Linked DNA regions of Drosophila melanogaster. The protein of the gene in region 2 interacts with the protein of the main gene of each other region in a pairwise test. Each region holds a gene or a part of one and is shown on either strand. Other genes may lie near its edges.

Evidence for each region.
Region 1: the proteins of IP3K2 (region 2) and w-cup interact in a two-hybrid assay, tested with the Drosophila melanogaster proteins (one large-scale study listed by BioGRID).
Region 3: the proteins of IP3K2 (region 2) and ABCB7 interact in a two-hybrid assay, tested with the Drosophila melanogaster proteins (one large-scale study listed by BioGRID).
Region 4: the proteins of IP3K2 (region 2) and CG7236 interact in a two-hybrid assay, tested with the Drosophila melanogaster proteins (one large-scale study listed by BioGRID).

The regions. Positions count from the first base shown.
Region 1 is NT_033779.5:10,575,354-10,579,761, reverse strand, and holds w-cup (world cup), read left to right. Parts: upstream 1-1,969; 5' UTR 1,970-2,044; coding exon 2,045-3,006; intron 3,007-3,066; coding exon 3,067-3,334; 3' UTR 3,335-3,902; downstream 3,903-4,408.
Region 2 is NC_004354.4:13,303,589-13,308,529, forward strand, and holds the start of IP3K2 (inositol 1,4,5-triphosphate kinase 2), read left to right. Parts: upstream 1-1,926; 5' UTR 1,927-2,291; coding exon 2,292-3,359; exon of another isoform or gene 3,360-4,416; intron 4,417-4,941.
Region 3 is NT_037436.4:1,616,571-1,623,913, forward strand, and holds ABCB7 (ATP binding cassette subfamily B member 7), read left to right. Parts: upstream 1-1,843; 5' UTR 1,844-1,930; coding exon 1,931-2,047; intron 2,048-2,277; exon of another isoform or gene 2,278-2,347; coding exon of another isoform or gene 2,348-3,688; exon of another isoform or gene 3,689-3,827; intron 3,828-3,857; coding exon 3,858-3,984; intron 3,985-4,246; coding exon 4,247-4,472; intron 4,473-4,532; coding exon 4,533-4,687; intron 4,688-4,746; coding exon 4,747-6,095; intron 6,096-6,161; coding exon 6,162-6,419; 3' UTR 6,420-6,843; downstream 6,844-7,343. Other genes in the region: CG33791 (uncharacterized protein), read left to right, coding at 1-731; CG13926 (uncharacterized protein), read right to left, coding at 854-1,051, 1,137-1,532; CG33230 (uncharacterized protein), read left to right, coding at 2,348-3,688; GC (gamma-glutamyl carboxylase), read right to left, coding at 6,943-7,343.
Region 4 is NT_033779.5:5,706,499-5,714,298, reverse strand, and holds CG7236 (uncharacterized protein), read right to left. Parts: upstream 5,909-7,800; 5' UTR 5,851-5,908; coding exon 5,732-5,850; intron 4,350-5,731; exon of another isoform or gene 4,202-4,349; coding exon of another isoform or gene 4,161-4,201; intron 2,397-4,160; exon of another isoform or gene 2,260-2,396; coding exon of another isoform or gene 2,150-2,259; intron 2,062-2,149; coding exon 1,875-2,061; intron 1,818-1,874; coding exon 945-1,817; intron 884-944; coding exon 746-883; 3' UTR 508-745; downstream 1-507.

The DNA.
Region 1 (4,408 bases), on a different chromosome or scaffold from region 2:
TCCCATTTAAGAAATATTCTAAAGAGATTAGTTGCTTTAAGTGAAAAAGTCGAGTGTTTCGCAAACTCTAGCCGGGTTTTCCTGCATTTTCCAGCAAAGCAGTGGCCCAGTCGGCCAAATTAAGTCATTAAATGCCAGCGACTTCTGAATGCAGGCAGCCAAACGACAACAAGGCACGCAAACAGATAAAAATTATGGAGCAGGGGTTAAAGGAACAGGAATTCGGGGAGAGTGGAACCGAACTGAACTGAAGTGAACTGAACTAAAAGCCGGATTCGGTAGCGCCGATAATCAATTCCGTTTCCGGCTGACAGTTTGCCGCATCGTGCGTGACCCAAAATATGCATAAACAGCACGAGAAAAATAATAATAATAATAATTGTAATAATTTCGTGAGTCGCTAGTCGTTGGGGCGTCGTCAGGCGAGGGGGCGTGGCACGTGCTGCACAGTTACCGGGTTTTTAAAACTTTTGGTTCGCGTGCTCGCATGTCGAAAAACGTTTGGAAAAATCCGCTCTATTAGCCGCCAAAAAGCGTTGATAACGAGTTCATTGACGAGTTCATTGGCACATTGATTCACATTGATTGTATGGCGTTGGATTGGTGGGGGTTTTTAGCCCCAAATGCGGTTAGTGTGGCGGCTTAAATGTGCACGCTAATATCACGTTCTAAAGTAAAGCTAAAAAAAGAAGCCTGAAATGTATGTATGAAATATTTATGCTCTAAGACAATCAACTCTGCTATCAAATATTTCAATTAGAAAAAAAAAACTTATAAAAATTCAAATAAAAATAAAGGAAGTTTGATTAAAGAAATATTATTGTTTTAAATCAATATTTATTTTATTTAAATTTTTATTGTTAAATCCATTCCCACATTTTTATAAGAAATCTTAACCCCACTTTCTTTCCAATTCCAGTTACCAATCCTGGCTGCAGCGGCTTATTAGCCATGCAGACCATGTTCCTTCGGGCCATTCTAAGCCACATAAGGCCCTCGAATTTGCCAGCTGACTGTATTCCAAATCTCAGACCACACAAAATCGCTCCAGACGGATACGTGGGGCGAAAATGCCGCATCACCAGAGGAGCTGCAGGAGTAGTAGTATTTGAAACCCCTCCAATTTCCCTGCCCTTCAGTTGTCTAGACGCAAAACCCATTTCTATCCCACCAAAAAAAAAAAAAAAAAAAATTGTTCTCGTTGCGCAAATGTTGCATTATAGACTACGAGTAGAGTTCCATGGTGGAAGCAAGTGTGGCAGATGAGAATGGGGGCTTCGAGTTTAGATATAAGAACAGCCGTTACCAAAGTAGGAAAACTTATTAAAAATTTACAGCCCCAATTTTAGCTGTCAGCAATGTAAATTTCTCAGCTTGAATTTAAATGGCATTCTAATTTTTGCTCTCTTCTTGAAATTTTGTTTTAATTATTTTAAAGAAAACATGTGTTTTGTGCATTTTTTTTTAGAAGCATTCATTACAATTTACTGTAAATTCTTAAACATATTTGTGGCATTGCATGCCACGACCTCGTGTTGCGTGGCAATTTGATGAATGTGCTCCTTGATTAACCCTGATCCCGGGTCAAACCTCCTCGAGGTGGGCCTGAAAATCAGTGGTAAGACCTTTGCATGCAGCTGGAAAATTTTAGAGGCAAGCAAAGTTTGCATAATAAATAAAGGCGATAAGAATGCTGTCCGGCTTTGTTTATGTTTATGTTTCTTTGCCTTTTATTTTTATGGAATACCTAGGGGCGTTCGAAGGGAAACTTTTGTGGGTGGCAAATACTTTTTGCGCCTCGAATCAGATCCCAAATGCCTCGAGCTGTGGCCAGAGTTGTCGTGGCTTTGAAGATTTCCGCACAGAATGCCTTTTGTTTCGGTGCTATCGGAAAAAGTCAAGGGTCAAATTGGCCTTTGAACTTTTGTTAAACCTGCCGTACGGAGTTTTAGCCAGTCAGTCAAATGATGTGAAACAAGTCGGGTCAATTTTCTGTACACAAAACCAAACAAAACACCGTAAACTCAAATTTTCGACCTGCAAAATGGAAGAGACCGAAATTCTGAAAAATCAAAATGTGCCACAAACAGACAAGATGAAAGCAGCAAGTGCACATAGTGAACACAACGAGCTGCATTTTATGAATCACTCATATTCAGAAGATTCTAAAGAATCACTTGGCCAAATGAGTCTTGAGCAAAATAAGTTCAGCGCGGTCAAGAATCTTACGAAACAGCAATCACATCTGCACAATTCGGAAGAAAGTCGAGCACAGGAAAATACAAACGAAATAACTAGGAAACCCGCAGAAACTGAAAAAAAGCGGGACATTTCCAGTAACGAGAAAGAAACGAAATATTTTGTTTTAAACAATTCTAATGAATCAAAGGAACAATACCAGGCAGAAGCAAAGATAGAAAGGAACAAATGCAAAGAGTTAATTATTGACAAGATCTCTGATGAAACTATCTCCCCGAAAACTAAGGCACAAAGTCAAATGAAGTTAAATGATGCCGTTTCTGATAAAACGCTTACCATTGAGAATGCCCGAAAATCAAAGCAATTAATTGCAGAAGAAACGTTAAATAGTCCCAAAGAAGAAAGCTCAAATGTCGTGGAAAATTTACCAAGCTCACCAGAAAAACCAGTAAAGGAAGAAGTTCAAGAAGCCAAGGAACAGGATACCATCATACCGCAATCCGAGGAAGTGAAAATCGAAAAACTGGATCAAATGGAGGCAAGTACTTCATCGGCAGCTCAGGAGGCGGAAATGAAAAAGCCAAACGAAGTGATGCCTGGCAAAGAGGAATACATTGACCCAAGGGAAAAAATCAGGAAGGACATGGAAGAATATTTTAGTGGCATTCAGGCTCTGGAGGTCAAGAAGACAATTCGCGACGAGCTGAGTGCAAAGGAAGGTGAAGTCATTTTAAGAGAGGATCAGCGAAAGAAAACCTGGAAGGGAATGCTTCTATCAGTGACCCACACAACCTTATCTACATCTACGTAAGCATATATGGTTTATACCATATGGCATATAATACTTCAACTTATATTTCTTTACAGTAGTCACAGCACATCTTCGGGTAAGCCGCCAAAATCCGCCGTACAAGCCATACCACAGCGCACCGCCAAGGCGGACTTCAAAAGGAAAATGTATGTCCTTAAGGAGAACTACAATTATCGATTGGAGCTGCTAAAGCAGCTGAAAAATGACATGAAAAACAACTACAAAAGCGAGGCCCAGCAACTGTATATCCACTATCACTCCATTAAGAACCAGACGTTAAATAGCCCCCCTTTAAAAGAGATGCTAGACGCAAAAGAGGAATAAGTGGATCCACCACCAAAGATAGGATAATATCACACCATCAGTTTCTAGATCGTTGCTCCATCTAGCACAGACTCACACAAAAGTAATGATCAAAATTAACTAAACACACTACATTTATCTACAATGAAAGGATTGTTATTCCTGCTACTGCTGCTACTTACTGCTCACTACACTACACACTCAGTACAAGCACAATTTTTACAACATACACCCTACTTCATTTTCTAAAAAATATCCACAAAAGTGTTGCCGGGCTTTCCAAATCTAGAAGAATATAATATAACCTAGAACCCGAGCCCCGAAATCATAGCTACGAAGTGGGACGACCTGCCGAAAGGGGGATTCAATGGGACTGTACCTCTTGCATTCATTGTGTGCACTTGCTTCTTTGCATCTTGAAGAAGTGCATCTGTATCTCATTTACTGAGCTTCCATGGTACAGTCACCACTCTGAACGCCCCGCGGTATGCAACAGTATTTCTGTGCTTTGTATATGCCACAAACCTTAAATTTTCGCCACTTCTGTTTTGCATGTCGAAATAAAAGCAAAGACAATGAGAATTGACCCAAATACCTGGCTCTATTGTAATTTTGCTCCTTTGGTATTGTAATTTATGGACTGCGAAAGTGATGGTGGTGGGGCTTTTTTGGGGTCGCAGCAGCCAAGAGAAAAGTGGAGCAGCGAAGTGAACAAAAGGTGTCCGTTGGTATTCACTTCATATTGTTCCACTGGCTTTAAAATTTAATTCAGCAGGAAAGTTGTACAGTAATACTGAAACTTGAGGGATACTTGAACTGGGAGTTTCACATGATTTTTCCGCTTAAGGAAAACTTTAAACTTTCCAAATACCAAAGAATTGATCGCCATGGTGGTGAGTGGGAATCGCTCCACGGGCGGCTAATCCGTTCAAAGCTGCCAAAAATCTGCGTCGTTTTTCTTCGATGTGACGCACAAAACGTAGATGGTCCGGATGAGGAGGAAGAGGAGAAGCTGGGCTCAAAGTGGCGGACGGACGGACACTCGTGGCAGGCGCTTAGCAACAGACAGACAAAGCTTCAGGCTTAAGCCCACGG
Region 2 (4,941 bases):
GGTCTGATAGTTAACTATAAAAAGCAAGATGGGAACTTATTTATAAGCAGAAACATGAACACGATACGAACATGGGCAGAGCTATTTAATTTTGTTCATATTTCAACGGGAATTTTACAGCTTGTAATTGTTTACTAAAGACTGCTGCCAGTTTTAAACCATACAATTTAGTTTTTAATAAGTGCTTGTACTGCAAAATTTAATTATACCTTTTGTTTCGGTAAGCTTCATAAATCTGATCTTGAAAAACTAGTTAGTGCTTTAGTTGCTTTCCGGGAAAAGTTCTTAGTCAGCTGGGTTTTTTTTAATTCATTTTTTTTTTTTGGCGATAAATCACCGATTCGTCCCATTGTGCGTGACTGTGCGCTTGTAGTGGTGCTCGCAGAGTGCTTTATTGCATTGGGCTCGCATCGCCTGTCAGTCTGTCACTGTGTGTGCTGGTGTGCGTGCGCCTCTCTGTGTGTTCGCGCGTGTGTGTGTGTGTGCGACGTATCTGTGCCCGCTCAGTGCTCTGTGCTCAAATGCAATTTACAATTACGCGCGGCAATTGGAGCAGCTACCGTTGTGTGCGTGCGTACGTGCGGGATCATTGCACATTGCGTCAACGTTTCAAGATCACAATTACAATTACCCCGACGCAGTGGCAGTTGCAGTAGCACCAAAAAATCCATCTCAATTGCGAGAGAACCGAACAGTGGCAAAAGCAACCGAAAATTAAGTAAGGCACAGCAAATTTGTCGAAGAAAACTATCAACAATACAAGTAAATAAGAACGGCAGAACGGCCGCCCGCCCCCACAACAGCTGCTCTCCGTTGATGCGCCACTCCACTCCGCGGCTCAACGATTCTTCTATACAATTCTTCGAGCCTCCTCCCCTCGCCCATTCTCGCCCCACGAGACTCCCCTCCCCCCGCCCCCCACGCTGCTCTTCTCGATTCTTTTCGCCCCTCCCGCCGGCCCGCTGGAAAAAACGGGCAGAGCTGCAGAGCCGCAGAAAGCGATTTCAGTTCGGCGACGGCAGCGCACAGGTGCCATTCGGAAAGTGCGGACGTAGAATGTTTGCCGGGAATTCCAGTGGCATTTTCACCTATAGTTCCACTCGATTTTGCCTCGACGCCAGCGTTAGTAGCGCGTTTCGACGGAACACACAGATCGTTTTCCAACACCATAAGCACCATTTCACTTTTGAGTCTTTCCTTATCAGTCACTCCCAATCACTACCCAACCATCATCCACTACTCTTCACTAGTTTCTCTTTCTACTATCCTTTTTCTTATTATTCCCATCCTCCCTTTTAACTATCTTCACACACTCATTCTTAACGGAAATCTTCACTGTTTTTATGCTTTCTACTATCGTTCTATCCGCCAGCCTTTCACTTTTCACTCGCTTCTAACATTTACCATTCTAGCTATTTTTTTACCATCTCTTACCATTGAATTCTTTATATAAGCCTTAGTAAATTAGTATACAGAAAATAGTACGAATTTCCATTTTCCATTTTCTGCACTTTTTTCAACTTCTTCTGCTTACAACATCTTTCTTATCACCAATCCCATTACACTTTCTTGCATATTCCTATTTCATTTTTGCTGTTCTAACGAATCTCACACTTACTTCATTAGTCCCAACTCTTTGCTAACCTGGTGTATACATACCTTTACCCACCCCACCTCTACCCGCGATCCAGCCAATCCATCCATGTGAGATGAGTGCGTGCGACGGCGGTACGGGAACGGTTTCGCGAACGTCTGACGCCCCCGCTTTCCAATTCGATGTCATGCCAAAGATAACGACGTCGACGTCGACGTCGAAAGCGTCGGCAGCGAGGGCGAAAACGAAAACGACAGCAAAAGCAACAACAATTGGAAAAACAACAACGACGACAACGCGGAGAACGGTTAAAATTGAAAATAAATGGACGACGGCAGAGGCAACGGCGTTCAGTTATCAGCGGACAGCGGAGCAGATTGGAGCTAGTGCCCGAGCCAGAGCCAGAACCAAAGTAGCAGCTACAGTCAGAGCTAGAGCAAACCCAATTGCGGCCACATCCAATCAGCGAAGTGACATTGGTTATCCATGTGAGGTGGCATCCATCTCCGAGTTGGCCCTACGCAAGGCGCAGTTGAAAGCGCAATTTTTCGGCAATCAAGTGGGTGGATTAGCCCGCGATAGCGAGACAAGCAGCACCACTAGAATCACTCGCACCACCAACTACCGCAGTGCTTATCCCAGCTGCAAGACGGAACGAGGCAAGCCGGTGCAACAGCTAATCGATCAGTTCCAGGCCATGATTGTCCAGCAGCAGCAGCAGCAGCAGCTGAGCAACGAGGGCGAGCCCAAGACACTGCCCGGAGCCACTGCATCCAATTCGGATGAGGGCTGTAATGTCACCGGCGGCGGACTGAGTCCCTATAGCAGCGACAACGAGGATAACAGCCTATCGCCGAGGCAGCGCAAAATGAAGGTCACACGCTGTGCCAGTAGTGATTCCGCCCTGGGTCTGGACGTGGACGATGGCGGCATGGATGTGCCGTTGCCGCCACAACGTCGGATGACACTGACCGTAACGGATTTACCCCTGCGACCGGCCCTACTGCCACTGGCCGAACCCACAGCCCTGCCAGATTCGCCACTGACATCGCCCACCGGCGGTGGCAATCCGAGCGTGGGTGTGCCCACCAAGGTGCTGCTCGAGGAGCGAGTGGTAGCCGCACCGGGATCGCGACGTGAATCCACCCAGAGCTCGTACAGCGAACTGGGCGTCAGTGGACTGCCGCTGGGCGTGCGCTATGTGCGCACACCATCCGTCGTGGTTAGCGACTATTCGGATGACATAACCGCCTGCGGCATTAGCATGGAGGAAATGGAATACTTTCGTCTGCAGCGGGCGCGTGGTCAGCGGCGTTGTTCCCTGGAGGCGGGACATCACAGTCATAGCGGTGGACATGGCGCACATGGACACGGTGGATCGGGAGCGGCGGGAATGTCGCCGGGATGTGGCAAGGACGATGGCCAATCGGATGTCAGTGCAGCAAGCAGTTGCAGCAATCTCTACTATTGTGGATCCACCATTTCTGCCCTCGATGGTGGCGAGTGCATCGTGAATGGAGTTCGAGTTGCGCTCGCCAGGAAGAGCAGCACCCAGAGCAGCAGTCTCAGCGACGAGGAGGAGGAGGAGGAGGATGACGACGAGGATCGCGATGAGCAGGATCGCGATGAGGATGATCGCGATGCGGAGGAGATGCTTCAGGAGGATTACGAGCGGGGGGATCGCGAACGTGAGAGGGAGCGGCAGATCAGCGAACTAATGGCCGCCACGCAGCTTGGTGATCGTCAGCGGGATCGATCCAAGAAGGTAGGCGCCCGCGATGACGTCACAAACCAGGGAAATCTCAAACTAGACTAAAGAATTCGGGTTGGCAAAACGGACAAGTAACAAAGTGGAGCAGCCTAGTAAATTTAATATTAAACACTATTTTTTTTTTTTCGTTTTTAAATATCATTAATGATTGTTTGTGTTGTTGTTATCGAAAGCATAAAAGAGCAGTGAATGAGGGCAGGTCTGAATGGCAGCGAAAGAGATAAGCAAGTTGGTGCATATACACAGGGAGAAACGGGTGCTACGCGTAGATGAAATGTGGCATAATTAAAAAAAAAAAAAAACAATCTATTTTGCTCTAGAGCAGTATTATACCGTTTAGTTTATCAACTGCAAGACCATTATAACTATAGAAAAAGACTATAATAATAAGACTTTTACAATACGCATATCTATTAAATATAAAAAGAAAAAAAAAAACAAAGAAAATCCCTTGAACTACTGACTTGATAATGCGAATTACCACTAAGTTTCATCTTGTTTTAAAGATGATGAGATGATATATAGGCTCAAGAACGGTAATCCCGCGCCTTATCAGCTAATGGTTTTTCCACCTTGCATATGCAGGTCTTTTCTTTCAGTGTATGCGTTTGCTTAAAAGGCTATTAATTAATTAGAATTTTATCTTATCACTAAAATGAGGTTCTGTTACTCGGAGAAGTCTTTTTGTATTCTTCGCTTTTCGTTCGCTATAATAATTATCGTTTTTTTTTTTTTTTTTTTTTTTTTTTTGAGTGAATGAGAACGATATGATGGTGGTGATGTTGAAAAATAGGGGGTTCCTTGATAAAAAAAAAAAACAAGTATATATCTACGAAAATACGAAAACCTCGGATCCGTTGGTTTAATTCGTTTTTTTTTTCGTATCTAGAACTGCAAAACAAAACAACGGCAGCGATAGCGAGGAAAAGAGCTTATCTTAGTTAACTGTATACTGTATTATAGATAAATATTATGTACATATATAAGCCAGCACATATTTACGTTTATATAATGGCATCTTTTTTTTTTTGTGGTTTATTATTCCTTTTGTTGCTGTTGCTGTTGTCAGCAGACGGCGAAAAGTTTGTAAAGCAAATAAAAGTATTAGAAACCGAATTTTCGGAGTCATGATAACGATAATAAAGCAATTCACCTGGATATCTCATACATACATACATGTACATATGTGTATATGCAAGAGATATGGATATGTATGTTGTCTGATCGTATATGTATGTGTGCCAATGTGTGTTTGGTTAATAATGTTACGCGCTTATCAAGCGGGTTTATCTGCCTGGCATTCATATAGCAATATATGGTATATATGTATATATATACCCTCACCGCCGACAAAAGCAATAATTGGAGGCATCCCAGAAATGGCCTGTTGTTCTTCTACTTTTTTTTAAGCCACGGGCATGCGGCTTATATATGCTTAATACGATATACTATCTACTGTATAGTGTGGTTATATCTATGATGATCCCATCCGCCAGTCTAACACAATTGTATAAAGCTCTGTCTTACGGGTTGTTGTTTTTTTCTTTTATTTTTTTTTTTATTATTATTTTTTTTT
Region 3 (7,343 bases), on a different chromosome or scaffold from region 2:
ACAAGGTGCAGCACTACAACGAGTACAAGGCCCTGATCACAAGCATCTTCGGAGAGCTGACGCCGGAGAACAAGAAGCGAATCGAGGATCGGATCAAGAAGCAGCAGGCAAAGGCCAAGGCGGATGCGCAATCGAAACCCAGTACTAAGCCACCAGCCGCTCCACCAAAGGGCGGTTCGTCGCCGCCACCAGGTAAGGGCGAATCTGGAGGAAAAAAGAGATCCGATTCGTCTCCATCTGCGTCTATAGCTCCTACAGGTCCAGCACCCCGTAAGCCACTGATCAGTCTGCCAAGTAGACCTCCAAGGGGTGGAAAGCAGCGGTCCGGCTCGGCTCCAGCTCCTAATCTGGTTGATGAAGATTCAGCTGCTCGAAATAGGGAACCAGATGCTTCTGCATATGATGGCGCATCACCGTCAGCTTGGAAGAGATCGGGCTCTGCTCCAGCACCGAGTGTAGTTCCCAGGGCATCGGCCTCCCGCAGTCCGTCTAGAAAGTCACCTTCACCCTCTCACGACGGCATATCTCCTTCTACAAGACAAGAATCCTTAAGCAAAAAGAAATCAGGGTCGGCTCCAGCTCCGACGCCAACTTCTCGTGGACCATTCCGGACTGCGCCCTCCAATACAGAATTCATAAAGCGCAGACCTGCTAAAGATTACGGCAGTAGAAATGAAACCCAAAGCACTCCCGGGGAGTCGGAACTGGACCCAACAAAACCACAGCCCTAGTTTGAATCCTCCTTTGTAAGTCCACCAATAAAGATAGGTAATAGTTACAGAAAGAATATAAATATAAAACTTTACTTGTAATATCAACAACTTGTGGAGGCGACGCCTCCATTGTCTTTTGCTCAGTACTTCCAAAAGTTTGGATTCTGTTCCATGCGACGCTGGAAATTCGTATACCAATTTTGAACGACGGAGAAGGGCACAAAGGTCTCGCTCGAGATGGGCGGGATGTCTCTGGCTGCCACTCCGAAGCTGGAGGCGTAGTTGAAGAAGTTCTCCAGCATTCGCTGACCAAATTGCTTGTTGTCGTTGGCAGTGGACTGAAAATTGGAAATGGGGTTAGATTTGAATCGCAATTATTGCGCCAATCAAATCGGTTGGCAACTACTGATCTTCAGAACTTACCACGGCTGGCGTCTGTTGGGCCACCGTTAGCTCCGGTTCGAGGGAAACTCCAATCTGTGCGATGTGTGAGATCTCCTGGCTGCCGAAGACCATCCCGTGAGCCTGGGCCTCCAGCTCGTGACTCTTCTTCAGCTGGGCGATTTTGAAGATGGCGGAGGGCTTGGTGTTGTTTATGTGACCCAGATACTGCCATGTGGGTGCTGCGTTCGCGTCCGGCCAGCTGAAATATATCGCAGCGGAGGTGCCGACGGGCAGGGGTGATACGCCGGTGAGGAATACTACCAGGTAGTTGACGGATTCTATGTCGGGCACATTCACGAGCAACTTGGTGGCGTCCACGGCCACAAAATCCGATTGGGGCAGGCGTCCGGAGACTATCAGACCGAATAGCGACATTTTCGAGCGGTGGACTATTCCAGAATTCGATATGCCCGCTTTGTTGGGGGAGGAGATGTTATGGAGATGAGCAAAAAGGAACTACCTTATCGATGCTTTCTTTCCTAATGGTGTACAGCCCACTACGTTTCTAACAAAAAAATATATTGAAGTATATTGGAATTTGTTGCTTGCATATGTTCTGACAGTTGATGCATATTCCAAAATCCTAAAAAAAGATTTTTTTTTAAATTTTAAATGGAACTAGTTCAGGCGACTGCTACTTGGCTTGCCATTCACAGCGATACGGCAACTCCAAACAGCTGACGCTGCCATGCGAATGCTGATATCGTAGCAAAAACACAGGGACGGTGCGAAAGAAGAGGGATTTTATTTTGTTTTCGCCTGGCAATTGAGTAATGGCCGGACTCCTTCACCTGACCAAGCAGTGCAGCATCCACCTACCCGCCCACTTGGGACGCGCGAAATGCTACACACTCGCTAAGGGACCGGGAACACACGTGCAGGCAAGAGTGGTGAGTGCTCGGCCTCTAGACCCATTTCAAGGCCACCTGCCAGACTATCTAGACTAGATTACGGTTTCGTAATTACGCGTAAATACGCAATAAATTGGCGGTTTGATTGAGTGGGGACAGCCGGCGATCGGCGGGGAAAACAGTCTGCGTGTGCGTTGTTTTGGTCCTTCTCCACTTCCATCCGATCAATCTTGAATTAATGCTCCACGCTATGGCTTATTTCGTTGCAGCAAGCATAGAGTTAGACCAAAACAGCGCGCACGCACACAGACTTGGAGGATCGATCGGGTATTGGGGACAATGGGTCGCACGCAGCGTCGCCGGCATCAGAGGGCCAAGAAGTCTGACGAGAATTCGGGCTCCCTGCACGACCTCTACGTTCATCTACACTCCGTTGGCTGGCAGAACCACACTCACTTGTCGGCCCAATACTACGAACAGACAGGTCGAGGACTATGCTCTAAACAGAAGACCTTTTCTCCGGAGGATGAGCTCATTCGCCTGCCCATTGGCTGTCTCATAAGCATAGCGACTCTGGAATCTGATGGGCCATTCAAAAGTCTTTTCGACGAAGAGTTATTTGACAAGGACTCCAGAATTTCCTTTCAGGCACTGATAGCCTGTTATATTTTGTACCACAAGCACTTGCAGGAGTGTACGCTAGGGACTCACTCCTCTACTTACGCTGCATATTTGGACACCCTGCCCAGGTGCTACTCCACTCCGTATTTCTGCTCCATACCCGAGCTACAGTGTCTGCCAGAATCCCTGCTAGAGCGGACCGTGGCCCAGAACCGTCAGATAAGAGGTTACTTTGAAATTATTAAGAACATTGTACACAAATGCGATTGCTGTGGGAAGAGCTACGGCCAGGAGATTTGGACACTCGCAGACTTTAAGTGGGCCTACTTCAGCGTGAACACTAGGAGCGTCCACCTCAGTTCCCGCTTTCTGAAAAAGCAGAGCAACTACTTTCAGCCGCTTATCAGTGGCGACACCAACCTGGCATTGGCTCCGTTTCTGGATCTTTTTAACCACTCAGATCAAGTGGAAATCACAGCAGGGATTGAGGGTCCCGATTACGTTCTTACATTGAAATCTCTGCCATTTTCCGAGACCAAACCATATGATCAATTGTTCATCAGCTACGGTGCTTTGCCCAACTTTAAGCTATTGACGGAATATGGCTTTTGGCTAAGAGAAAATAAGCACGATTACTTTGAAGTCTCCCTACTGGACATTGAGCACATGATTAAGCAAAACAAGGAGCTATCAACGCAAACCTTTCACCGGAACATCTTTAAATTCATCAGGGAGCACAATCTGAACGATCAAATGTTCGTGCACATCGACGATGGATGCTCTCACAATCTAAGGGTTGTGCTGCACCTGATCTTCAAGCAGCAGGCCTACTTTCCCAACATCCTCAACCAGATTGCCTTTGGAGACGCCGAGCAGTTTCAGGACGTGCAGCCAGAGCTGTCGTACCTCGTAGAATATAAAATAAAGGAATACGAGATCTTTGGAGGAGAGCTGGATAAGCTTCCTAAATTGACAGAAAGTGGTGCAGTGGCACGGTCTTACCTCCAAGAGTGTATCCGTTACCTCGTTGACTTTCAATCGGTGCATCTAGCTGCATAGAAGCTGTCTAGGCTGAGCTTAGAATTTAAAACAAGGCGTTTAATATTGAAATGAATAGTAATAGATGTTAAAGAAAAACTACTTAAGTTTATATTATTTGAGGCATTTAAATTTTTTTTAATAAATCACAGAAAACTGTAAACTTTATTTTGTAAATGACCCCTTTCAGCTGTACTCTTCGCTGACTAAGGTTGATGATAAGAACAGCAGCGATGCCAAGCGGAAGAAGATTACCCCGTTTACGCCCACGCCGGGTAGCAAGCTCCTGGGTGGAGTATTCGGCAAGAAGGCCAAAGGTAGGTGCCGTGGGGCAGCATCAGTTACCCAGTAAATAACCAATGCTCGAGTATCCTGATTAATACAGCACCCCTGCAGATATCCGCAGGCTTTTTATTTAGTACTAGCCTCTCACGCTTTTTTTTTATTGACTAACCAACCCAAAATTGATTTTGTTTTGTGGACCGAGTACGTGCGTCCGTTTGTTTCTTTGTTTGTTTGTGCGCTTGTTGTGTTGAGCGCCTGTCTGAATTTGGCTGCATCCAAGTGAATTCAATGCAGGTGGAGCCCCAGCAGCAGCAGCAGCAAAAACAACAACGCTACAGCGGCAGCGACCTTACCGCCCACAACAACAGCAATCACGACTATGTCATGTTCATATAGGGGGCGGCAGCGATGGTGGCTCGGGATTGGGCAAGCTAGACGCGCCGGAGGTCACCTCCAAGGATATGCTGCGTGCCATGATGGCCTACATCTGGCCAAAGGAGGATCCACTGGTGCGAAAGCGGTAAGTTCATCTGACTATGACTGAGAATACTTTAATATCTATTGTTTTCCAAATTGACAGGGTGGGTATTTCCCTGGGTCTGTTGGCTGGCTCCAAGCTGCTGACCGTCTGTGTCCCCTTCTTGTTCAAAGGAGCTGTGGACACGATGACAACGCTGAACATGGACACTGCCCCGGATGCGGTCCTCTCCGCAGCCACCGCACTGATGTTGGGATGTAGGTTTCTTAGCCTGAGTTCCCTATCATAAAAGATCTTAACTGTCTAATTCACGCAGATGGCATTGCTAGAGCCAGTGCGGCGGGCTTTAATGAGTTGCGGAATGCAGTGTTTGCCAAGGTGGCCCACCACTCGATCCGAAAGATCGCCAGCAATGTGTTCCTGCATCTGCACAACCTGGATCTGGCCTTCCACCTGAACAAACAAACTGGAGCACTGTCAAAGACCATCGATCGAGGATCGAGGGGCATTAACTTTGTGCTCTCCGCCATGGTCTTCAACATTGTGCCCACTATCTTTGAGCTGGCCCTCGTGTCCAGTATCCTGGGAGTGAAGTGTGGCCTGGCCTTCGCTGGTGTCAGCATGGGCTGCGTTGGCATATACGCTGCCTACACTCTGAGTGTGACCCAGTGGCGCACCCAGTTCCGTGTATTTATGAACCAGGCGGAGAACGAGGCCGGCAACAAGGCCGTAGACTCGCTGATCAACTACGAGACGGTGAAGTACTTCAACAACGAAAAGTACGAGGCGGGTTGCTACAACGAGGTGCTGAAGAAGTATGAGGCGGCCAGCTTGAAGACTAGCTCCAGTCTCGCTCTGCTCAACTTTGGCCAGAACGCCATTTTCAGCAGCGCACTGAGTCTGATTATGGTATTGGCCGCCAAGGAGATTGCCCAAGGCAACATGACGGTTGGAGATTTGGTGATGGTCAACGCCCTGCTCTTCCAGCTCTCGATCCCCCTCGGTTTTCTGGGCAGTGTTTATCGTGAGGTGCGACAGGCTTTGCTGGACATGCGGGCCATGTTCACGTTGATGAACGTGGACAGTAGCATTCAGACAGCCGCCAATGCCCAGCCCCTGTTCGTGGACACCACTAACTCATCCATTGAGTTCCGCAACGTGAGCTTCGAGTACGAACCTGGCAAGCCCATTTTCCGGGACCTCAGTTTCACCATACCCGCCGGTAAAAACGTCGCCATTGTGGGCGGCTCTGGCTCAGGAAAATCGTCGATGGTGCGCCTTCTCTTCCGCTTCTTTGAGCCAAACTCTGGTAAAGTGTTGATCGGTGGCCAGGATATCAGCGCCGTGGATTTGGAGAGCCTGCGCAAGGTTATTGCAGTGGTGCCGCAGGATTCGGTGCTATTCCACAACACCATCGAGCACAATATCCACTATGGCAACCTGTCCAAGTCCCACGCAGAAGTGCAGAATGCTGCCCGCATGGCTGATTTGCATGACTCCATCATGAGCTGGCCAGGACAGTACTCCACTCAGGTAGGCGAACGTGGATTAAAGTTATCCGGTGGCGAGAAGCAGCGCGTTGCCATCGCTAGGGCCATACTGAAGAACACCCCCATTCTGATCTTTGACGAGGCTACAAGCAGTCTGGACTCGATCACCGAGCATGTGAGTGTTGAAAGCGACTAAGTGAACTTCTATAAACTGACGGAATCGGACTTCTTCCCTTTGTAGAACATTCTGCAGGCTCTGACCCGCGCTACCTCAGGACGCACTAGCATTTGCATTGCCCACCGTCTCTCGACAGTCAAGGATGCGGACGAGATTCTGGTGCTCGAGAACGGACGTGTAGGTGAACGTGGCACCCATTCGGAGCTGCTGAGGCAGAATGGACTGTATGCCCGCCTCTGGGAGACGCAGACGCAGCAGTTCGACCCGAGCCGGGAGATCAATGAGGAGGTGGCAGCGAAGAAGACGCGGGGCGTGGCGTAGACGAGGCTCCTAGCCTATTTATGTGTTTGTTATAATGTTATAACCATCCCCTTCGTTTGGCAATCCCTAGCCACTAAATTCACCGTAGAATCCTCCTGGACCGGAGATTCGCTATTCATAGGCTTAAAGTATCATTGTGACGTTTGTAAATACAGCTGTAGATATGCGATAAGAGAAATTGAACGGGATGTGGTACAATATGGAACATTTATTATCAGTTTTATCACCCATACATTCGGTTATATCGCTCTGGTTTCCAAGGTTTTGTTTCGAGATTTAATTGATTTGAGCGTATCGTTATGTAAATGCAAAATAATGTGATATTATTAAATGCATTTCATTGATATATAGACAAAACCAAGAGGATTTGTGTATATCCTTCAAATCGGACCTTCATTTCTTCAATATAAATTGTTATCCTCTGATTTATAGGCAATATAGGTTTTGAATTTGCTTAACCAGATTTAATATCGAATCTAGATACGGCTAAAACCGAAATAGTGCCGATGGTTAGCCTTCTCCTTCAATCTCCCCCCTTTACGGCCTGCGGAATGGGCACATCGTAGAGCAAGTACATTAGGCAGTTGCCAATGTGGCCCAAAAACTGCTGGTAGTTGGTAACCCGATGCTGGAACTCCTGCCACAGCGGCAGGACAGACCGCTCCTCGGTATCAGGCTGTTCTATCGTGATGCCCTGCTCCAGCATCGTTTTGTTGGTGTATGTGAACAGATACGAAGCTGGCTTCTGGCCAATGGTGGTGACCAAGTGGGTGATGTTGCTCTCCAGACCGATGCTCTTGCCGGCTGTCAGGAAATAGGCCTCCGGATCCCGCTCGTTCCGGTACCGAACATTTCCCTCAAGAATGGTCAGCGTGCAGTTGATAAGGTCCGGCGAGATGAAGTTGGTCAGAGTTAGTCCCGGGA
Region 4 (7,800 bases), on a different chromosome or scaffold from region 2:
TACACGAAAGCCGATACGTGTCGCTGATTATCTGCCGTGTGCTTAGCACTGGATTAAGCTGCCAAAAAACGTGGTATGGACGCCAGGAGGCGATATCTGTCGACGATGAAATACTTCAGGAGCGGAGCCTCAAAAGAGGGTATCAAGCAGTTCATGTATATATATCAAAGGACTGCAAAACAGACCTTATTGAATCAAATATAAAGTAAACGAACTTATAACATTATATAATTATAAATGTTCTATTAAAAGGGCTCCGCTGTTCCCAATCCGCTCCTGGTTAAATAGATGTAAAAATGTGTAATCCAGACCAGGCTCAACAAGTAGGTGAGAGTTGGAGGTGGAATGTAACCGTTTGACTAGTCGACATGCTGCAAGGATTTTTAATTCGATGTACGTGTGTGTGCAAGGCTGAAAAGGATTCGAGCCAGGACGCAACTGGAAAGTGAATTAAAGATTAACCTGGAGTGATTTGCGAATCTCATGGACTAACGGAATTGAAAATTTATGGAATAAAACATTATGTAGCACATTTTATTTGATGACAGCTGAAAATTGCACTTTAGACTTAGTTACTAATTCAGTTCGGCCCGAAGGGATGAGTTGCCAAGTGTTTACGAACGTTCCACCCAGTGATATATTAATGGATTACTTTTACACATTTATTCCCAGCAGTAAATAAGTTAAATTTCGGGCTCAATTCTCGCTCAAGGACATTACTTCGTTACAAATTCTCTGCTCAAACTCAAATTGTGGGCAGATGATGCTCGGTGCGATGTAGCAGGTTTGCATTCTTGTTCAGGGGCTGCAGCTTCACGTAATCTTGATGCGGGTGATGATGATGCTGCGTGCTAGGCAGCAGCGGTAGTGATGTGTTTGAAGTCTGTAATCGAAAGGATATACTAATAGATTGAATTATCCTCTGAGAGGACTGCCGTACGCACCTTTGATTTATCCCGGGCCGCCGCGATGGCCGCCGCCTGAGCAGGACCCGTCTGGAGCTGCTGGGCCGCCGTGGCCAGCATGAACTGCTGGGAGGCGAGCTGCTGCTGGCGGAGATTGGCCGCCTCCAGGCTGTTGACGTGCTCCAGTTCGCGCTGCTTAGCGATGTAGTCATCGAAGTAGGAGTGCTTTGTGAGCTTCTCGCAGGACCAGCGCTTGGTCGGATCCTTGTCCAGGCACTTCTTGAGAAAGTCAATGGTCAGGGGATTCTGCTGCGACTTGGCCGGCATCTTGTCCTCCAGCGGCTCCAGCGTCGGCGGCACTGGCAGCGTGATGCCCTTAAAGTACTCGTTCTGTCCAAAGATCTGGATGTGGCGCGGCAGCAGGTCGCCGAGCGTCTTGCGGATCAGATAGAGCTGATCCACATCGCTACGTCCTGGCCAGAGGGCCTCGCCCCGGACCAGCTCGGCGAAGAGGCAACCGATGGCCCAGACGTCCACCGGAGTGCCGTACTGAGTGTCGCCCACCAGCAGCTCCGGCGCCCGGTACCATCTGGTGGCCACGTAGTCCGTGTAATTCTCGCCCGGACTGAGCATCCGGGCGAAGCCGAAGTCACACAGCTTCACCTGACCCTGGGCCGTCAGCAGAATGTTCTCCGGCTTGATGTCGCGGTGTAGGCAGCCCTGCTTGTGGCAGTAGGCCACGCCCAGCAGGGTCTGGTAGCAGATCTGTTTGGTCAGGTGCTCCGGGCAGCCCTGTGGATGCCGCTCCAGTTCGTGCAGCACGGTCAGCTCGCAGAACTCGAAGACCAGATGGAGGCGTCGCTTCCGTCGGAACACTTCTAGCAGGGAGACAAGGTTCGGATGCTTCAGGTTCTGCAGGAAATTTCGAGTGATTAAGTGATTCAAGTGATTTAAGTTATTAAGGCTTACCTTCAGTAGCCTAATTTCTCGCAGTGCAATTTTACGAATCGCTGGATCATCCTCGGACTCCACAAACCTCTTGACCGCCACCAGAGCACCCGTTTCCCGATCCCGGCACTTGTAGACCACACCGTAGGAGCCCTCGCCCAGCCGACTGAGCTTCTCATAGCGATCCATTTTGCTGCTACCTTGTGGTCTGCAAGGAAGTTAACAGGTATGAGTTATTCCGGAATTCCCACCCCGATTGCGGCTAACGTTCAGTTTGAGTTTGGAGTGGATTTTACCTTAAGCTCAAACATTGACCACGTTTGATGTTTGCACGTCGCATTGCTTTGCATTGGGCACACAAAATGTTCAAGAATTTTTCTGTTTGATACCTCAGACACGAACACATGTGGACTCACAGGGGCGAACTTGCATTCTAGGATATGCGAGCGAGTATGAAGTGATTTGATATTCGATCTGGTATTATTTCAAGGGCTGTCTTACGATTTGATGTGTATGCATATATGTACAAGTTATTATATTGAATAGGTTTGGTTTTTTTTTGGGGATGTCCAGAACATTTTGGAGGTTTGGTTTCACGAATTCGGTATGATTTGGTTAGTCGATTTCGATGGAATGAAACAAACAACAAATGAGAGAACTTTTAGAATGAGTTATTTGGTTTAAACGTTAATTTTGGTGGGCCAAAGGAACTGTTAAATAAAATGTAATAATAATAAATTAAAATGTGCCGAAGTACATCAATATAAACTTCTTCCTGCTAACTTTTTCCAATCTAAATGCAGCTATTATAGCTAATCAAATAAATCGATATTGTAAACATTCAATTGCCATTAGATACACAACCTAATCATTACTACTCTGCCATTTATAAGCACGAGAACTAAATCGATTTTTTTGACCCAAGTAAACATAACCCTATGTGGAATTGTCATTGATTTGAGTGTATGGACTAATGAATTCTAACATTTTTACACAGTTTAAGTGAAAATAAGATTAAAATAACTTATTCTGTTCATTCAGAATTGTACCATTAGTATTAGATTAGAAACCGAGGGTAATTAACTTTCTAGCGTGAACACGAAAACTAAATCGATTTTGTAGCCCCAGGTGTTCGAGAGCGTGCTCCTTTGAAATTGGCATTACCGGTCTGGTCGAGGACTTCACGGGTTGACAGTTCAATGCCAGCCACAAAACCTTAAACGGGGTAACTGAACCCTGCTTGGGCCTTTCTGCATCTTTTGCTAACATGTGTGTGGGTCATAAACATGGCATGCAATTAAATATTTGTGTGCTTATGATGGTGGTGCTGGTTGGTGGCACAAATAAATGAAAGCAACACAGGACACCGAAAACGTAGCAAGCAGATGACTTACCTAGGCACCCATCTGGCTAATATCTGACGTATTTGCCACTAGAGTTAGTAATTGAATTGTGAATGAATAGGACATATATATATATATATATATGTATTTGATTAAAGTCTTTTGGGGGAAGTCTACGATACACACCATGCGCCGAATATTCCGCCAAGCCTGTCGATCAATAAATATTTGAATGGGTAGACCGCTTGAGCGGACGTATGTTTTGTCTGACAACTGAGCACCGAATGGGGGAAACGCTAGAGCCGACCTGTGCCCCATGTCGACCAGGTCGACTCCACCCCACTGGCCAATGTCATAGCAATGCGACCAAAGTTAACAAAGCAAAAAACCACAACAAAACCAAATCCATGCGCAGTTGCCCCCAAAGTTGTTCAAGAAGTTTCTCCCCTTTGTTGTTTTTTCTAGCGACTACCGGAAGACATTCAAGGTGTGCTTCTTTCCCAGCTTTCCCAGCTCCTTTCCCACTACACATTTTGAGGTTACCTGCTGGAGTCGTCTGTCTAAGGAGAAGGCAGGGGAGTCGCTTATGAACCGGGTTCTTTGACACAGATTGCTGGAGGATTCCATATAGCTAAACTGGTGCAGCAGTGCAATAAGTTTGTCGTAACTACGCGCTACGTGGGCGCTTCGGGGGTGGATTCTATTTGGGGTCCTTATTACTAATTAATGTTTGAATCGCTGTGCAATTATAACAGTATTAGGGATGGCTTTTCCTGGCTGAATAACTTAAGTATTGCTGTGCAGCTAATTTGCTTGCCAGGGGTCACTTATTGTGTTTGCTTTTCGAAGCTGTCCAAACTTTAAAACTTTCACAGTTCACAGGCAAATAAGATAAGTTATGATGTTAATAATAAATGTTAATTTTTTTTTTTAATTTTGTTTATTTTTTTTTTTTTGCTCATACCTTCGTAGGGAAAACAATTTAGAAATCTCAAACATTTTCATTGCAGTATCGAATTTTTTCCAGTTCACCTTTTGTCTATATTTGGTTTGTTTCCGTGTTTCCTTCACTTGGGCCAAACAAAGAGCCCTATAACTTTTTGGCAGAACTACACGATGTGAAGACGTTAAGAGCCGGCAATCGACTGAGGTGCTTTTGGCTAGAAACGAGTTTGGAGAGCGACGGAGTTGGTAGCAGCTCGGTTGCATCAGCGGACATCGCACATACGCCGCGTTGGCCAATGGCGACTTTGATTCCTATGTTTTTGTTTGTTTTGGTCTTGCGTGTTTCATTAATAATGCATTTAAGTGCAGTGGAAAAACACGAAGGTGAGCGTCGAACATAAATTAGGAACCATAATCACGCATACTGTATAAGCAATATGTAAGGTATATGTATATAAAACGAATTCTTTGACCGGTGTGGTGTATTAGGTAACTAATTTCCTTGAAATTTACCTTTAAGAAGTGTATGAAAGTATAGTGACAGCACCCCACTGATTTCTGATTTGCATAATTACTGAGAACTCCCGTCGACCCCGTTCCAACTTAAACACCATCTGCTTGCCTTATACATTTGACAGCTTTTGTTTTCCGCGAAAGCACTTTAACCTTTCCCACTTTGATTTTACCTTTATTCTAGGCTCTTGTGGCTTTTAATTATATTTTTGTATTTATTGTTCTATGTAGTTGTTTGCGCATAGCAATTATTTGTTCATGTCGTTGTCATGATGTTTGCACTCAATGTTGGGGTCAATGCTTCCCAGCTTAATGGCTCTTCGTTTATTTACCATTCTGATACTGACCCCCGGTATTTGTGTGATATAGCAGCGCTAAAGTTTATTTAGTAATGGGTATTATATAAGAATGAGAGGAGAATTAAAGCACTTCTATTTAAGAAAAAGGAACATTTAGCTGGCCTTTAAAATAGATACTTAAAATTGAAATTTACTTATACGAGTTTAGCTTACTGAAGTCAGACTGAATGGTCTTTATTTTTAGAGAAACCACACATTTTTAGATGTTTAATATTCGTACTGCCTTGTGGGTTTATTTCAAGTGTCTGTACTTGCTAAAATAGCAATAATATGTCAAGTAAGTAAAGTTTTTTAGCAAAACCTCTAACATCGCCTTGTAAAGTCCCTGAACCTTTTGGCCATATAAATATTGCGGGTTGTTGGTAAGGGTTGTGTTGACGTGGCCTTTGGGAAAACAAGCGTAAAATGCAATAAATAACAAGCCATTAATGCCAAATGCTCACACACGCACCGAGTGTCCCAAACTTTGTGCGAGGTCTGTGCAAAAAGCGTTGCCTACTTACGGGGATAGCAGAGCTGAAGCGCTTGGAGGACGAAGCAGGCATATGCGTGTGAAATGAAAGGCCAAGGCCGTTGCAACACCACCTCCACCAGCAGCGACTCAAATGTCATTGGGAAAAGTTTATCCTTTCTGCCCGTTTTAGCACTGCATTTCACTTTCATTCCGCAAAAAGTTGGTAAAGCTAATTAGGGCCACGAACGGCGCTAATCGACCCACCTGTACTGCCTGGTCTCAACTAAGTCCGGCTCATTGCACACCTGGATCTTCTGAATGAGGCGGTAGAGGAAGGAGTTCTGTAACGATTGCGGCAAGTAGAACGATGAGCTGTGAAACATTGCACGTCGCCAGGCGTTCGTACGGCTGCAGGGTCTCAGGATAACTAAGTTGCACTTCGACGGTCTCTCGTCTATTTATTTTATCGATACATGATTTCAAATGCAACGGACATCATGAATACTTTATGCATGGAGCGACATTCCTTCTCAAACAGGTGCAAAAAACCGGCTCTGTTTCTGACGTGTCTCGTGCCGGCAATGCTTTTCCATATTGTTTAAGATTTTTTTGGGTCAGAAAAAATGCGGCCGGGGGAAGCCAAAGGAACATGCAAATGAGTCAGGCGCATAATGCGAGAAGTGAGAGTTGCGACGGCAGGCGAATGAGGCAGAGTTTGCCACATGCCACAGCGAGGCACACGAAATCAGTGGTGCAAGCTGGAGGGAAAAAAACGGCTTGCGGGGATTCAATTATGTAAGGTGAGGCGGGCACCTGTGAGTTTTGGCATCCACTGTGGGAATGAGAGCGACTGTCAAATGCCATGAAAGCGCCAAACAAATGTAAGTATCCTGCTGGCAAACCGAAAACGCGATTCTAATTCGCGGCTGTTGAAAAGTCCATTCACCAAAAGTGCTGATATAAGCAAAGCAGTCCCATTATAACATTTTTTGAGCACAATGAACGTTTAGATCTTGGGATCATGGCAATTCAATGTGAATAAACTTGATTAAAGTTTAAAAAACCCTTACTAATTTCACATAAATAAACTTAGGAAATGTATGAAACACATCAAATTGTTATTGCTACCAGAACAGCATGAATTGCGCTCCTTGGGTCCTGGGTCATGATCATGAACTTGTCTTGTATTATATAACTATCCATCTCCTGAAACAACTTATCAATAATTACCAAAGAAAAGTATGTGACTTGTAAAAACCTTCTCATGAACAAGTGTGCGAGTACAAGTGTTATGTATCAATCATTTGCTTACAGTCTGATGGGCAATATCTTATTCTATTTCAGTCAGATATGTATTCCAGCAAAAAAACATTTCCCTCTGTTCCTTTCGAGCAAAACGCAAGTGTCGTTGACATTTGCCGAAAATAGGGTTTTCGTCTGCTTGGATCAAAAGCATTAAAAACCGCTACATCATCCGTTCCCATAAGTATGCAATATTCCTTCAGAGCTGCTTGTCTGGCCTGTCAGAATTCGGATGGTAAGTGGGTTGATGTTGGAGACAAATCCAAGCTCCGAACGCATTTCAATGCAATTTGATGTCTCTGTACTTGATTTCATCTCTTTTCGCTTTTGTTCTTCTGCATCTTTTTTTCCGTGCACATATACTCGCATTGATTGAAATTCAATTTGATTGGAGTTTTTGTCCTTTTTGGTCCTGTGGCTTCTTGGTTAGATCTTGTGTAAGTTGAGTAGCTTTTAACTGTCAGTTTCAAAGGCGTTCAAAGAAGGTATCTAAATGTTAGTTAGAGACACACAATGTTTTCATACGATGATTACTATTTACTGTAGGGTTGGTTATTCACAAGGCCCGACGTTAAGCAAAACAATATCAGGGGCAACACTCTATCTGCGCGCCAATCTTGAAGTTCAAGTTTAGGCCAAAACAATGAAAAAATGTTTGGATAGCACTTTTTGTTACCATTCAATGCAATGCAATGCCAAGTTCGACTTACCTTCTGGGCAAAAGTGGAAGGTGGTTACCAAACAGCCAGAGACGTTTCTCTCCGAACCATTTGTCCATAGACAAGCATTTAATAACTGTTTGGAAAATTGATTTTAAAATGCCGTACTATTTCTGGAATCTCGAAAGTGATTTCCGCATCCTGCGAGCATTTAACTAAATGGATTTTCACGCGCGAGATGCGAGGCGAGTTTCGCGTCCGTTGGCGAAGAAATATTAACAAACTTTGTTTATAAGCGTAGTCCACGCCGTAAACGTAGCCGGAATTTTTATGTGCGCCGGCATTGAAAACGCCGAAGACAATGGAATGGAG